3 linked regions of the Arabidopsis thaliana genome follow. The protein of the gene in region 3 interacts with the protein of the main gene of each other region in a pairwise test. Each region holds a gene or a part of one and is shown on either strand. Other genes may lie near its edges.

Region 1 (6,582 bases), 7.5 Mb from region 3:
AGCGTATTTTCCAATCCACAATACATGAATCAGGTAGGCCTAGAATGATCTGAACTTAAGAGCCTTTTACCATTGTGAACATATATTAATTGTTTTCCCTTGATTCCAGCTTATGAGTCTTAACCCACAACTCCGAAGCATGCTAGATTCGAATCCTCAGTTGAGGGAAATGATGCAGAACCCAGATTTCCTTCGTCAGTTTAGTTCTCCGGAGATGATGCAGGTTAGTTTGTCCCCTATTGTCTGTATGCATATGAATTTTTAACATGGTAGTCTCTCAAAAGAAACATTTCTTTGTATCTAAGCTATTTTCAAGTAAAGAAGTTTCTTTTCTTTTTTTTTTTTGGGACAAAGTAAAGAAGTTTCTTAAACCTAATGTTTTCTATTGTTTTTTGGTCTTCAGCAAATGATGACTCTACAGCAATCACTATCTCAGAATAGAAATACAGCCAGCCAGTAAGTTTTGTTAAAACCCTTCGTTGTTTGGATTTGCTTAAACAAAGTTGAGCATTTACATGTCCTTTACATATTGTTTTTTGGGTTGTTTAGTGTTTAGACAATGTTGTAACTAGCTAAAAAGATTGGTTGTGAACGATCTCTATAATAAGAAAAGGATTGAACCATGACTAATGCAGCAACTCTTGTATGATTTACTGGGCTGATCACTAGTAACATCTATCAAAGAGGCTATAAATAAAGCATTTTAATCGTTGGAATACACTTGAATAGGGCTCATAACATTTTGTTTGTTTTTGATTATGCCTTTTAGCATAAGCTATGTGTGTTAATCTCCATATTTTGATTTTCATCAATCCGCATTCATGTTCCCAAATCTATCTTCTCTGTAGGGATGCGGGGCAAACTGGTGCTGCCACAGGTACTCTTAAAGATATTATATGTATTTATTCTACAGTAGTATAAAGGGTTTAGTTATGTTACGTAGTATAGCAGCTACTCTTTAGTTCTCTTTGCTTTCATGTATGTTTTATTTTAGCAGATATTGTATCGTATACAAGTTAATAGTAGAATGACAATACTGATGGGGACAGGAAATAACGGGGGGCTGGATTTATTGATGAATATGTTTGGCAGTCTTGGTGCTGGCGGCCTGAGTGGCACGAACCAATCCAATGGTTAGAGACTACAAATTTTTTTTAGCTTACGCATCTGTTGTGATGGTTCCACTGAAACTTGTCTGTTTGATTCCAGTTCCTCCTGAAGAGCGGTACGCTACTCAATTGCAACAGTTGCAGGAAATGGGATTCTATGACAGAGCAGAGAACATTAGGGCGTTGCTTGCAACCAATGGTAACGTTAACGCTGCTGTAGAACGACTCTTGGGGAGTATCGGACAGTAGCATACAGGTTCATGAACTGATGTCTCTCCATCTGGCTTCTCAGTTATAGAATAAACAGCTTGAATGTGTGTTTTTCAGTAATGATATATTCATCGAATTCATAAAAATTTATATATGATAGGATCGTGAACTTTGTTGATAGAAAAGCCGCATCAATACGGTATTTGTTATCAGTGGTCACTCTTCGTCTTTAACTACCCTTAAACCTATATATCTTGGGTGTTTATCTTTGATAACTTATTTCAAGTTGTTACAACATACAACATCTGTAAATGTTTATAGACATCAAAGTGAAATTGAACCCATTAAATTTTTGGTTCCTTCTGATCCGGTTCAAAGGTTAAACCAAATTGCCCAAAGAGAGAAGTGGCATGTTGCAAAGGAATATCCAATTAGTTGATTCATCATCTTCAATTAGATTCAAGTTACAGCCAATTCCTTCCTGAACTATATACCAAATGCCTCAATTTAGACCCGACCCGGCCCAATCTTACCCAGTAAGAGTCGTCGATACGTTCTCTGAAGCGCAAGTCATTTCTGGATTCTCATTTAATTGGCCGTTCGGGGCCAAATAACTCTTTAATTTTCTGCAGTCTCATTTGTTATTCGACCAAAAATAATTTATATCCCTTTCCTCAAGAAATCTTCAGAACCGACTTATTAGAGCTTCGAGTCTCCTCAAATCTTCTTCTACGATTTTTTCTTCTAGGTTTAGAGCTTTTGATTCTCCGATCAATTTCGCGATTTGTTGAACTAGGATCTGAAATTAGAATGGGTGGTGAAGCAGATTCGAGGCAGCCGCTGACTGCTGAAGGCGTAGCTGTTGCCGTGAACGTCAGATGCTCCAATGGCACGAAATTTAGTGTGACGACGAGCCTCGATTCCACGGTGGAGTCTTTCAAAGAGTTAATTGCGCAGAACAGCGATGTGCCGGCAAATCAGCAGCGTTTGATTTACAAGGGACGTATCCTCAAAGACGATCAGACTCTCCTCAGCTATGGTAATTTTCTGATCATTTCGTGTTTCATTTCTGTTGTTCCGTTGCTTTAATTTGACTGAAAATCTCATAGGGTTTCTAGGGGGTTGGAACATTGGATTTATGTTAGGTTTTTACAGAAGCATGGATGATTTTATGAGTTTTGATGTATGCTTAATCCTTCTATGGGAAGAATAAGGAGATGTAGTTAGTGATACGATAATTGATTCATACCATTCTTAGAGTTCCTAATGTTCTCATGATCATGTATCTTCTTGGGATGTATATTTTCTCCATCAATGGCTGTTGTTGATATGATTGTGTTGGATAGTTTCCACGTTTTATTGTTTTGCATCATGAGCCTCAATGTTTCCTTTCTCTGTGGACCATTTTATATATAGGTTTGCAGGCTGATCACACCGTTCATATGGTTCGAGGTTTTGTGCCTTCTTCTCCTTCTGCTCCCGCTGCAAATGCTGGAAACCAAACCACTGCTCCTCAAGCGGTTGGTTCAAATGATAGCTCAAACCTCGGAGGAGGTGAATCTTTGTTCCCTGGCCTTGGATTTAATCCTTTGGGTGGTGGAAATGCTATGGCTGGATTATTTGGATCTGGTCTTCCTGATCTTGAGCAGGCACAGCAACAACTAGCTCAGAACCCTAACATGATTAGAGAGATGATGAATACTCCAGCCATCCAGAATCTTATGAACAACCCAGAATTTATGAGGAGTATGATTATGAATAACCCTCAAATGCGTGAGCTTGTAGATCGCAATCCTGAGCTTGGTCATGTGCTCAATGACCCAAGCATCCTTCGTCAAACTCTAGAAGCGGCGAGAAACCCAGAGCTTATGCGTGAAATGATGAGAAATACTGATAGGGCTATGAGTAATATTGAGTCTATGCCTGAGGGATTTAACATGCTTAGGCGTATGTATGAAAATGTCCAGGAACCGTTAATGAATGCTACCACTATGTCCGAGAATGCTGGAAACAATACGAGCTCTAATCCATTTGCTGCTCTTCTGGGAAACCAGGGGGTTACTACACAAGGAAGCGATACTTCTAATAATATTTCGGCACCGAATGCTGAAACGGGTACACCTAATGCAAATCCACTTCCTAATCCTTGGGGTGCCACGGCTGGTAAGAAACTGTATTCTCATCCTCTTAATTTCATATGGGATTTTACTTGTAGTTTAAGGTTGAAATATTAAATATAAAAGCAAGAGTGGCTTGTTTTTAAGAAGTGAAAGTTTATGTTTACCACACTGGTCAGGAATAGTATTGATTATAGTAATAATTGGTGAGTTCATGTTCTCACAGTTTGTTGTTATGACTAGTTTGTCTATGAATAAGTTTCTTGGCTGTTTGTTTCTAGTTTAACTGTTACTCGTAATGCACTAAAGATTTTAGAACATATTGTGGGGCTACTTGACAGGCCAGACAACTGCCCCTGGAAGGACAAATGCTGGACTTGGTGGTCTTGGTGGGCTTGGAGGCCTTGGTGGACTCGGTATGCTGGGAGCGGACTCACCTCTTGGTGCGACTCCAGATGCTTCTCAATTGAGCCAAATACTGCAAAACCCCGCTATGTCGCAGATGATGCAAAGCGTACTTTCCAATCCACAGTACATGAATCAGGTAGCGCCTTCAGTAATCTGAATTTTAGACATTGTAGCTATTGTGAGGCTGTCTTTAATATTTTAATATTTCCTTCATTTCCAGCTTATGAGTCTTAACCCACAACTCCGAAGCATGCTAGATATGAATCCTCAGTTGAGGGAAATGATGCAGAACCCTGATTTCCTTCGCCAGTTTAGCTCTCCCGAGATGATGCAGGTTAGTTGGGCCCATGTTGTCTCTCCAGATAATTATTTTTATATCATTCAGTAGTCAAATTTCTCCGACCTAATGTTTTCTATTGTTTTTTGGTCTTTTTAGCAAATGATGTCTCTACAACAATCACTTTTCTCTCAGAATAGGAACACGGCTGGCCAGTAAGTTTGGATACCCTTTTCTGTTTTCTTTAGTTGGAACATTAGTTGAGTAGGTAATGTCCTTTATATATCATAATAGGATTTTGGGTTGATCTGTGTTTAGAAAATAGTGTCACTAGCTAACCAGGTAATTCTCTCGGTGGTGAACTATCTTATATTAAGTAATAAATGGGTTGAATCATTAGTAATGCAGCAACTCTTGTATGTTTTACTGGGCTGATCATTAGTGACCTTTATCAACGGCTGTAAAGTATTTTAGTCCTTGAAATAAACTTGAATAGGAGCATAAAAATTTTCGTTCTTTTTTGGTTCTTTCCTTTAACATTTGATATCAGTGATCTTGATTTCCATCAACCTCTATTCATGTTCCCAATCCATCTTCTTTGTAGGGATCCTACGCAAACTGGTGCTGCGACAGGTACTATATTATCTGTAATTGAAGTATGAAGGCTTCAACTAGTTCACTTAGACAGTGTGCTTTTTTTTGTTCTTTTGCTTTACTTTAATCGTATATTCATTACGTTGCTTATTGAGTAAATCACTACTATGGAAATATTTATAGGGACAGCCAATAACGGAGGACTAGATTTATTGATGAATATGTTTGGCAGCCTTGGTGCTGGCGGCCTAAGTGGCACAAACCAACCCAATGGTTAGATTCACTAGGGGCTATACTTTGATTTCTTATATATCTATTGAGATGGTTCCACTGAAACATGTCTATTTGATTCCAGTTCCTCCTGAAGAGCGATTTGCGACTCAGTTGCAACAGTTGCAAGAAATGGGATTCTACGACAGAGCAGAGAACATAAGGGCTTTGCTTGCAACCAATGGTAACGTTAACGCTGCTGTAGAACGACTCTTGGGGAGTATTGGCCAGTAACATACAGGTTCGTGAACTGATATCACTCCACTCTGGCTTCTCAATTATAGAATAAACAATGTGTTTTCTTTCAGTAATCTAATTTATGGAATTCGTATAACTACATTTATGATAGGATCGCGAACTTGTGGATAGAAAAGCCGCTCATCGATACACTATTTGTTTTCAATGGTCATCTTCTTTCCTCTTTACCCAATCCCCACAACCTTTTTTACATACTTTGGGTCGTCTGTTATCTTTCAGATTCTATTTGAAGTTGTTACCTCGTACATCTGTAGAAGTTGATTTCGAAATGTGGAATGGTTACATTTACGTTTTCTTATCTCCATTTTACTTATTAAATATAGCTGTAGTGACGTTGATAATTTGTGATTGAGCGTTAAGTTTTTCATTCGAATAACAAAGATAAATACAATAATAATTGAAAGAAAAACAAAACTTATGAGGAAAACAAAAAAAGAAATGTAAATCCGACAAAACAGGGAGAAGTAACTGCTAAGAAACCGTCGATGAAAACTAACTTGTTCTTCTTCTACTTAACCAACCATAACTCCCACTCTTCTACTTTTTTTTTTCCTCTCTTTTAGTTTTTCTGTCTTCTCTCTAGTAAGAGACTCAATAATAATGTCGAACACTTCAAACTCCGATCCCAATTCCGATATCCCATTTGCTTCCTCCAATGTAACTCTTCCTAGTTACAATCAAAACCCAAGAAGAAAACGTACTAAACTCACCAACAACGAAGTCGGTTCTTCTTCGTCTTCTCCAAGGCCTAAACCGGTCACGCAACCGGACCCTGATGCTTCACAAATCGCACGACCATGTACTGAATGTGGTAAACAATTCGGGTCACTGAAGGCACTCTTTGGACACATGAGATGTCACCCTGAACGTCAGTGGCGTGGCATCAACCCTCCTTCTAACTTCAAACGTAGGATCAACTCAAACGCTGCGTCATCATCCTCGAGTTGGGATCCATCTGAGGAAGAGCATAACATAGCCTCCTGTTTACTAATGATGGCTAATGGTGATGTCCCAACCCGTTCAAGTGAAGTTGAGGAACGGTTTGAGTGTGATGGTTGTAAGAAAGTGTTTGGGTCACATCAAGCGTTAGGCGGACATAGAGCAACACATAAAGACGTCAAAGGATGTTTCGCCAATAAAAACATAACCGAAGATCCTCCTCCTCCACCTCCTCAAGAGATCGTTGATCAAGATAAGGGCAAGAGTGTGAAGTTGGTCTCGGGGATGAATCATCGATGTAACATCTGTTCTAGAGTGTTCTCCAGTGGTCAAGCGTTAGGAGGTCACATGAGATGTCATTGGGAGAAAGATCAGGAAGAGAACCAAGTCAGGGGCATTG
Region 2 (4,716 bases), on a different chromosome or scaffold from region 3:
TCAGCTATACAATAAACCACTGCTCTATACGCTTTACAAAACTCACATACTCTTTCCATATTCTCAATTATTATTATACATAACATATAAAAGATTCCTCCCTGTTACATCAAAAAAAATATCAAATTAGTTTATTAGAGATCACAGATCGAACAAAAAGAGAAGAATAAGTTTTTACCGATAAGAGAACTAAAAAGATCAGAGATTGGTGACAAAAGCTTCTTCTGTCTGTTTTTAGGAGCTTTTTCATATTATCTGAACAAATCCGTCGGTTTGGTTAGGATGACGTGGCAAAGCCACGTAGATATTTGGGTGGGGACTTAGAAAAAATGGTGATTACGTTATCCGTATGCACGTGAGATATGGGGAAGCCACGGACGTATGTGCCACTGTGACAGCTTCTTCTTTCACGACCCATCATCTCTAACTCTTAAAGCTTAGCTTTTCCTAACCAATTATTGTATGCCACATGTCGTAGCTAACTCCGGACCAAACAAAAACTACAATTATCCGACTTGGTTAGTTCGTTAATTGGTTTTATTATTTTTCACATGAACTAAAACACATAAATAGTACTTGAATGTGTTAATTCTTATAATTTTACATTTTTAAGAATTTTATTAATGACTAATGTGATGTTTTCTTTTCTATCAAGATTATATTAAAAGCTAATGTTACAAAACAAGAAATATTAGAGTCATGAGACTATATTTGAATATAAAAAATATCAGTGTAAAACGACATTTACTAAGAAACAAAGGAAAAAGTACACTAAACCGAATTTAACCGATTTACCATTGATTCCAGTTTTTGTCAGTTAGTAAAAAGCAATACTGATTATACATACAATAGTTTTAGTTTTGTCTTAGATTAGTGAGATATATATTTATGTTTCTCAAGAGATAGAGAAAGCATAACGATTAAAACCAAACAAAAGTTTAGTTAGATTTTTAGATTGGATTCAATAGGATTAGTTAAAATCAAAATGGTTTGGTTTACCTTATATATTATACACGCCTAATAAAGAGTGACAGAAAGAGTGAAAGAAAGAAAGAAACAAAATTCCGATAAAATGAGAAAGGTCACAGATACAAACACCAGATGTTAGCAGAGAGATCCCTTCCCATGCCCATGTTGATGTACAAAACTCTGGTTTTTCGCAAAAGATGGAACAGATTTGACATTCCAGATTCCGATTAGCGCCTGACTTGAATTCAATCGAAGATAATGAGTTATCATCATATCACAATAAGAGCAAGAAGAAAGATGTGGAGGACTTCATAAGTTACCTATTTGTCAAGTTTTTTTGGTGTGCACTTCAATCATATCATGATCCTCCATGCCAAGTTCAGAAGGAGTGGTTGATGGATCAATCTTATCACCGTCAAAAATAAATACAAGATTTTGCGGGTCAAGCTTAGCTTTATCTGTATACAGTTTGATAACCCTCTCAAATTTCTCGTCCTACAAGAAAATGGTAAATACCAAATCAACATTCTCATATTTTACAAGCTTTAACAGAATATGCATATCTATTAATGAGCGGCTCATTGTATGACAGAGAGCAAGCAATATGTATTCTGTGTGTAAATGCTATGTGGTGATGATACATTGATAAGAACATGAACTCGTTCTCTAGTTTATTAGATGAACTCAAAGAATAGTTTAAAGATCCATCAACTAATACACGTCTCAAATACTCGACCCCATTCAATGATTTCTTTAATCCCTGTATTTATACTCTTGCTTTCCTAGAAAGCTCGAAATATCTAGCTATCTAGATAGTAGCGAAGGTGACATAACAACTAATTCTTATCTCTACTAAATATCTAGTATCTAGCTAGAAAAAGTTTGGATAGTAAGCTTATTGTCGATGGAAGGTTGGATAGTAAGTGGCAAGCAGTGAAAAAACTTACCGCAAACACCCGGAGTGTCTTCTGTCCATCTTTGTCCTGTATTGTAATAACAATCTTGGCCCTGTCATTCGTAGGCTCTGATGGTAACTGAGCAGCAGTCTCTGAAGATGGATTGCGAGATTCTTCAACTTCCCTTTTAGCAGACTCCTCAACTTCCTGCATCACATCTCCTACAGTTTTTGTAAATGACATGAGCTCCATCTTCTTCGACCTACGTTACATATTTCATTTATAATCAAATTGTAACACTGGGACTCTTTCCGGATAGCAAATAACACTACCATAGCCTCTAACAGCAACATGGGAAGCTTAGAGATGAGAAATACTCAAAGACATACAAAAGTTACCTCAATGCTTTAATAGTTGAATCTTCAACAGAGTCTTTACTTTTGTCGAAGATAACCTTTGGTGGAGGAAGCAACCAATCGTCATCACCCGTAACTTCAATCACTTTCACATCATCATCTAACTTCTCAACCTATATAAAAAGATTCAAGTTCCAAAAGGAATGATGATAGATTCAACCTATGAATTGTGAAGTACATAATCGAATTGTTCCTTCACTGACATTGATTCAAAACTCTTTACAAGCCCACAATACCAAAAGTATCTATCAAGTTAACACAAAGAGCTCAATGAGACAACAACCAATCAATAAAAATCAATTCTTACTGTTTGTGAAGTTTTCGCTTTCTTCGGAATTGGCGTCACCGAGGCATCATCATCATCATCTACAAAAATTCAAGCGATAATAAAGGATTCATCTTTATCACTGTCGAGTGTCGAGCTCAGTGACCAAATCAAATAATCGAAACTCACCATCGATACAAACGAAATTCGCTGGCTGAACACGACGATAATCAAAAAGTGGCTCTAGATCTTCTCCTTCACCTCCCTGATCATCAATCAGTAATACAAATTCAGAAAAACTCAGGCATCAACACAATCCCACAACAGACAAAATTAGGGTTTTAAAAATTGGGGTATTGGGAATTCATAAAATTCTCACCATTGTTAGCGAATTTGGATCTTCTTCGTCTGTTTTATCAGAAACCCTAGATGAATTTGGACAGATTTTGAATTTGAATATTATTTTGCTGTGATTTTTGAAAAGACAAAAGTGATTTTGAATTTTGATGAAGAGAGGCATCGGCGATTAAGAAGCACCTCTTGGGTTTATTATTTGTTTGTTGGGCCTGTTTAGTGGGCCGAGTTTTCATTGGTTATCACACTTTTTTTTCAGATTGGTTTAATTGGGTTGGGTGACCATCATAGTTGATTGCGTATTTGTCATTTGAGATCTGTTGTACTTTAGTAGAATTTTGTTGGTATTTTTGAATGCATGACAATAAAAGATGGTACAACAAGACTCATCCTAAGTCTTTAGTAGAGAAGTCCATGGGAAGCTCTACATGAAGGTTATAGTAAACCAAACCGAGAAGGCACAAACTCGGCTTTACAAAATCAGGCCAAAAATAAGATAACCGGCAAATAAAAAGGGTTGGTGAGGCTATTCAAACCATACCTAAGTAAATTGTGTTCGATGATCACGAGAGAGAAAGAAACAAAGAAAGGGAGACAAAGCGTTTTCAGAGACTATGAGAGATCATGGAACCCTAGCTAGTAGAGTAGAGGACTAACCTTATTACCAAGATTTTTTATTTACATGTTGTTACAACTTACAAATGAATAAAAGATAATTAATGCAAATATAGTCTTGTTAATGCCAAAGTTTTGTTTCATGAAATAAACACGCTTCTAGCCTTTCATGATCACCCTCTTTGTCTCTTTATGTAGTTTTTTTTTGTCGTTTCTTATTGATGTGTGTTTCTTCTCCTCTCTCTCATAAGTCATAATACACTTAATATGTAGTCAATAATATTCCTAGTTTCATACATTCTTGTTTGCAATTCTTTAATTTTTTTTTGTCAAGAGTTTGTTATTCTTATATCTGCGAAATTGTATATATTTTTAAGAGTTAAATATCATAGTCAAAACCCGTATAAGCATAATAGAAAAGCCATGAAAGCTATATCGGGAGGTGGAATCTTACCTATGAGATTATGTACCCAATCAATCATCATTCGGAGAGGCCACAAAGAACAAACCCGAGTCCGAAACCGATTTGATCGATCATTGTCGATGTTGTAAGACCCTCCTTCGTCTACGTTACTCTCGGAAACACCTAAGTTAACCTCAAAACGACAAATGGGACAAGTGTTGTGAATGTTCAACCAAGACACAATGCAGCTTGAATGGTACAAATGCAAGCATTTCAATTCTTTTCCTTCCTCTCCAACTTCAAATTCCTCCTTGCATATCGCACAAACCTTCTCTTTCACCAAATCTTCATCCGTGATTATCACCGTCCTTACAGCCTCGATGGCGGATTGCGAGGCTGGTGGTGGACCGATTTGTACACTAGGCATGACATCAGCGAATTCCTCGTCAGTATTATAAACTAGATCATCATGATTGAACCGGTTACTTCTTGGTTCGTTGATAAGATGGAGAGTGATCCAATCGGTATCACTATCCCAATAAGGTCGGCTTGGCCTCATAATGTCAAGCTCATCGTGAAGATTGATCTCTCTAGAACAGAAAGGACATATGGGACCATATAGACCAAAGCTTCTTAGCCTAATGGTACGGCTACAATGGCGACAATAGAAGTAATGGAACGTTCTTGTTCTTCTTGTTCCATTCACAATAACTCTTGGACGATAAGCAGATGTCATGTTTTCAATCTTTTTATTTTTTCGTCGGTAGGATCTTTATATATGCATTTATAATTAAATAC
Region 3 (4,703 bases):
TTTTAGGACAATCATTGTTCACATAACTCAAGTAGTTGTTACGTACAGCCCTACTGTCTATTATGCAACACTTGCCTTTCCTACTTGCTACAATCACAGTGTCAAATTGTTTAGTATTGTATATCTGATAATTGCTTGTCCTTGTTAAGCTCCTCCAAAGCACCATATATGAAGTTGATCTTGATAGACTTCTTCAGAGTATCCATGTATATCTGCAAGATCTGGGAATGGAAGAGATACGTAGGAGGTACATCTCTTTAAATGCACTCTTAGAAATTTTGCAAATCTATGTCTGTTTATTATGTGGAGATTTTTCGTACTTGGCAATACTAATGCATTCTCGGTTGGTATTTTTTCCAATGAAAAGAGCTGGGGCAGATGATAAACCTCTGAGGATGGTGAAAACTGTTCTACATGAACTTGTTAAGCTCCGCGGAGCCGCAATTAAGGGCCACTTGTCTCTTGTCCCTATTGACATGAGGCCACAACCCATCATTCTCGCTTACATCGATCTAAACCTTGAGGTGAGACCTCCTTAGTCGTCTAACTTCATGTCCAGAAATTTTGACAAATTTGCTGAAGCTGAGGGTTTGGTCAAAGAGCGCATCCAAACTATTTGCTGTTTTACTATGTTTTGAGAAATTTAGACGCCATTGGTAGTAACTATTTAAATACCTGCAGACTTTAGCTGCAGCAAGAATGTTAACTGCAACAGGTCCTGTGGGCCAAACCCATTGGACAGATTCAACAGCCAACAATCCTTCACCTCCTGCAAATTCTGCCGATGTTCAGTTGAAGCAAGAGCTTGGGGCTATTTTTAAGAAAATAGGTGACAAACAAACTTCCACAATTGGTCTTTACGACCTCTACCACATCACAAAGTCATATCCAAAGGTAATAGATATGACTATGTATTTCAAGTCTCAATGTTTCCTGTTCTTCATGAACAAACGAGCCAAATTGTATGTACTTACAACCTCATCTTAATGCTTGTAGGTTGATATATTTTCCCAACTTCAAAATGCTAGTGAAGCGTTTCGTACTTACATCAGAGATGGTCTGGCACAGGTCTGTAACTAGTCTCCTAGCTTTTTACTATGATTTCGATAAAACTCAAGTTTTTTGTCTTGAAGTTTTGCAATCGGTTCTGTAGGTTGAGAAGAATGCAGCTGCGGGAAGAACACCTTCAAGCCTACCGTTGTCAACTCCTCCCCCTTCGTCCTTAGCTCTTCCATCTCCTGATATTCCTTCCTTGTCCTCTTTAGATGTGAAGCCTTTGATGAACCCTAGATCTGATTTATACACAGACGACATCCGAGCCAGTAACATGAATCCTGGAGGTAGTTTCCTAGATCCTTATCCTTCTTTGTCCTTCCTTGCGGTGTTTATATATATCTGTTAAAAACAAACATCTTTGGCAGTGATGACAGGGACGCTAGATGCAATCAGAGAAAGGATGAAGAACATGCAACTGGCTTCATCAGAGCCAGTAAGCAAACCGCTGATGCCAACAAACGATAACTTATCAATGAACCAACAGAGCGTTCCCCCGAGCCAAATGGGACAAGAGACAGTCCACACACACCCAGTGGTTCTCCCAATGGATGAGAAAGCATTGTCCGGTCTTCAAGCCCGAATGGAGAGGCTCAAAGGTGGATCACTGGAACATATGTAGAACTAGAGACCCCAAGCTTTGGAGTCTGAAGTTACATAAGCAAATTCGCCATTTTTGTTACTTCTCTCCAATTAATGTAGTAGTAAAATACTTTTCTTTTAATATACAAACATATAAGAGAGAGCAATATTTTATGGTGAAGCGGCTAGATTTCAATGGAGTTAGTGTGTATAGTGGTGGGAGAGTCTGGGAGCTGATGGTGAGTGTGCCAGATTCTTTTTAATATGAGACAAAATATTATTCTTTCTATGCTTGTTTACATCTTTTTTTCAACCACTAGTAGAAACCTGAATATTCTCTCGACTCTGTTTAGATATGATTCTGATGTAGTTGGCATATCTTGTGTAATCCCTCCACTCTCAAATTTCTAACAATTCTTAATTTTTGGGTTGAAACGGAAGTAATATTTTGTTCTTCCATCTAACCAAAGGTCGTATATTTGCAAACCAATTGAAGTAGAAATTAACTTAAACCGGGAACTGGTTTAAGAGATATTAATATATGACCGAAGACATTGGGTTTAAAAAGTCAGAATAATAAAAAGTTGGCGTAGTCTAAACGCCGACCCAGAGGCCCTCTCATACCTTTACCAGTGCCTATATATATATATATATATAAACAGACTAATTACTATTCCCCATCGCACAGACCCCCCTAAGAATCCGAGAGAGAAGAAGAGATAATGCAGATCTTCGTCAAAACCCTCACCGGCAAAACTATAACCCTAGAAGTTGAGAGCAGCGACACCATCGACAATGTTAAAGCCAAAATCCAGGTTTAATTTAGGGTTTCTTCTCTTCTTTATCCCCTCAAACGATTCCTTAGTTCCTCTGAATCTCTACTTGTTCTTACCTTGAATTGTATAATTAAGAATTGTTTCGAGTAGGAATCTCTAGTAATCTTGAAGAACATGGATTTGATTTACTTGAGAATAGCTAAAAAGTGTTTGTGAGGATTGATAGTTTGTTTAACGATCTTTATCTGAGCTCGCTTTTGTTCGAATCTTTGGTAAATCATTTTGGGGTTTCAGGACAAAGAGGGCATACCACCTGATCAACAGAGGCTGATTTTTGCTGGTAAGCAATTGGAAGATGGCCGGACCTTAGCTGATTACAACATCCAGAAAGAGTCTACTCTTCATCTTGTCCTCAGGCTCAGAGGTGGAACCATGATCAAGGTGAAGACACTCACTGGAAAAGAAATCGAGATTGATATCGAACCAACCGACACTATTGATCGGATCAAAGAACGTGTTGAAGAGAAAGAAGGCATCCCTCCTGTTCAACAAAGGTAAAAACAAAACTTACGTTTTTCTCTTATGACTTGACGAGTTTGTGTTTGTCTTGGTGCATTTAAGCCTCAATTGAGTCCCATCCTGAACATTGTTTGCAGTATTTTTATTGCATGTGTTAGTCCCATCCTGAACATTGTTTGCAGTATATAACTCTGTGGTACGCTCTGAATTCTCAGGCTCATATATGCCGGAAAACAGCTTGCTGATGACAAAACGGCCAAAGATTATGCGATAGAGGGAGGCTCTGTTCTTCATTTGGTTCTTGCTCTTAGGGGTGGTCTTCTCTGATCTTAATAAATAAGCTTTTCAACAAACATCTTTTCCCTCACTATTGTCCTCCTTATGTGGAATTCATGACACACCAAAATTGCTATGGGAAATTGGAATATTATGCTCTGCTTGTGTGTTTGGATCATATTACTTGTATTTTTCAGTCTCTCTGATATGATACTTTGTGAGTTAATTATCGAGTGCCGTATCAGGTAGGAATCGTTATCTGACTAACGAGTTTTCCACTGGCACATACCAATTCATATTTCGTTTAAGTAGAGAAGTCCAGATTGCATGTGAGATCTAGATCCGAGACTCCCTCGTTCGTCTATCCAGAGACCTTGAATATGGCGTCAACTGCCTTCCCACTAAATATAACGACCATGTCAAGTACTAAGAGTCTAAGACCACTGCTGAGCATGGCCTTCTGTGATAATCTCGGGGTTATACGTTGCTAAAAGTTGACTCCTAGTCACCAAATGGCATAGTTTTATAATAACACTGTTAGATCCTTGTACCAGTTACTCAGTGAGATCCTTAGATTCACATAGAGTTGTCCCATATAAAGTAAAAAAAACTAGAGACATGAAACATAGATTTTTTTTTTTCATCACGTGAAACATAGATAAGAAAAGAAAAAGGATAGGTGTTCAATTATTTAATTTAGTAGGAAACATAGAATAAAAAAACTTGCTTTGTTTTTCATATTTTCTCATTATTGGAATCACTGTCTTTTCGAACTTGGTGACAATCTTAGTACTAGAAAACAAAAGACTTTGACCGGTCTTTGGCTCATCTCTTTCTTCTCCCCTTTCTCCAACACTTATTTCTTTCTCTCTCTAGTTCATGAATTCAAGATTCAAAGACACACGTATGGCTACCTCTTGGTAAATCCAAAGAGACACATATATGGCTGACGCTGATCCATCGAGTGGTGAACAGATAGTTATGAGAGAGTGCAGAAAAGGGAATTGGACAGTGAGTGAGACTTTGGTTCTCATAGAAGCCAAGAAGATGGACGACCAGAGGCGTGTACGGCGATCGGAAAAACAACCTGAAGGCAGAAACAAACCAGCAGAGCTCCGGTGGAAATGGATAGAGGAGTATTGCTGGAGAAGAGGATGTTACCGCAACCAGAATCAGTGCAACGATAAGTGGGACAATCTCATGAGGGATTACAAGAAGATCAGAGAGTACGAGAGATCAAGGGTAGAATCGTCTTTTAACACCGTCACTTCTTCCTCTTACTGGAAGATGGACAAGACTGAGAGGAAAGAGAAGAACTTGCCGAGTAACATGTTGCCTCAGATATACGACGTGTTGTCTGAGCTTGTTGACAGAAAAACTCTTCCTTCCTCCTCCTCCGCCGCCGCCGCCGTAGGAAACGGTAACGGTGGCCAGATCCTAAGAGTTTGCCAACAAAGTTTAGGATTTGTAGCTCCGATGATGGCTCAGCCGATGCAT

The links.
Region 1: the proteins of UBQ7 (region 3) and AT2G17190 interact in binary tests that used the Arabidopsis thaliana proteins (3 or more experiments, as listed by UniProt).
Region 2: the proteins of UBQ7 (region 3) and AT1G68185 interact in a two-hybrid assay, tested with the Arabidopsis thaliana proteins (one study listed by BioGRID).

The regions. Positions count from the first base shown.
Region 1 is NC_003071.7:7,476,909-7,483,490, reverse strand, and holds AT2G17190 (ubiquitin family protein), read left to right. Parts: upstream 1-1,800; 5' UTR 1,801-2,129; coding exon 2,130-2,358; intron 2,359-2,735; coding exon 2,736-3,482; intron 3,483-3,777; coding exon 3,778-3,980; intron 3,981-4,064; coding exon 4,065-4,178; intron 4,179-4,280; coding exon 4,281-4,336; intron 4,337-4,725; coding exon 4,726-4,754; intron 4,755-4,898; coding exon 4,899-4,988; intron 4,989-5,070; coding exon 5,071-5,219; 3' UTR 5,220-5,226; intron 5,227-5,334; 3' UTR 5,335-5,646; downstream 5,647-6,582. Other genes in the region: DSK2 (ubiquitin family protein), read left to right, coding at 1-33, 110-223, 404-456, 849-877, 1,050-1,133, 1,210-1,358; DAZ1 (C2H2-like zinc finger protein), read left to right, coding at 5,844-6,582. UniProt on the Arabidopsis thaliana protein: Binds and presumably selects ubiquitin-conjugates for destruction. Prefers multiubiquitin chains rather than single ubiquitins, with a binding affinity for 'Lys-48'-linked ubiquitin chains.
Region 2 is NC_003070.9:25,554,754-25,559,469, reverse strand, and holds AT1G68185 (Ubiquitin-like superfamily protein), read right to left. Parts: upstream 3,088-4,716; 5' UTR 3,067-3,087; coding exon 2,926-3,066; intron 2,812-2,925; coding exon 2,736-2,811; intron 2,648-2,735; coding exon 2,589-2,647; intron 2,395-2,588; coding exon 2,264-2,394; intron 2,128-2,263; coding exon 1,917-2,127; intron 1,465-1,916; coding exon 1,297-1,464; 3' UTR 1,290-1,296; exon of another isoform or gene 1,204-1,289; 3' UTR 937-1,203; downstream 1-936. Other genes in the region: BBX27 (B-box zinc finger family protein), read right to left, coding at 1-101, 179-250; AT1G68180 (RING/U-box superfamily protein), read right to left, coding at 3,845-3,867, 3,970-4,654.
Region 3 is NC_003071.7:14,978,687-14,983,389, forward strand, and holds UBQ7 (ubiquitin 7), read left to right. Parts: upstream 1-2,204; 5' UTR 2,205-2,357; coding exon 2,358-2,450; intron 2,451-2,705; coding exon 2,706-2,965; intron 2,966-3,145; coding exon 3,146-3,257; 3' UTR 3,258-3,814; downstream 3,815-4,703. Other genes in the region: MOR1 (ARM repeat superfamily protein), read left to right, coding at 150-247, 368-524, 682-894, 997-1,068, 1,154-1,340, 1,422-1,675; AT2G35640 (Homeodomain-like superfamily protein), read left to right, coding at 4,149-4,703. UniProt on the Arabidopsis thaliana protein: Ubiquitin exists either covalently attached to another protein, or free (unanchored).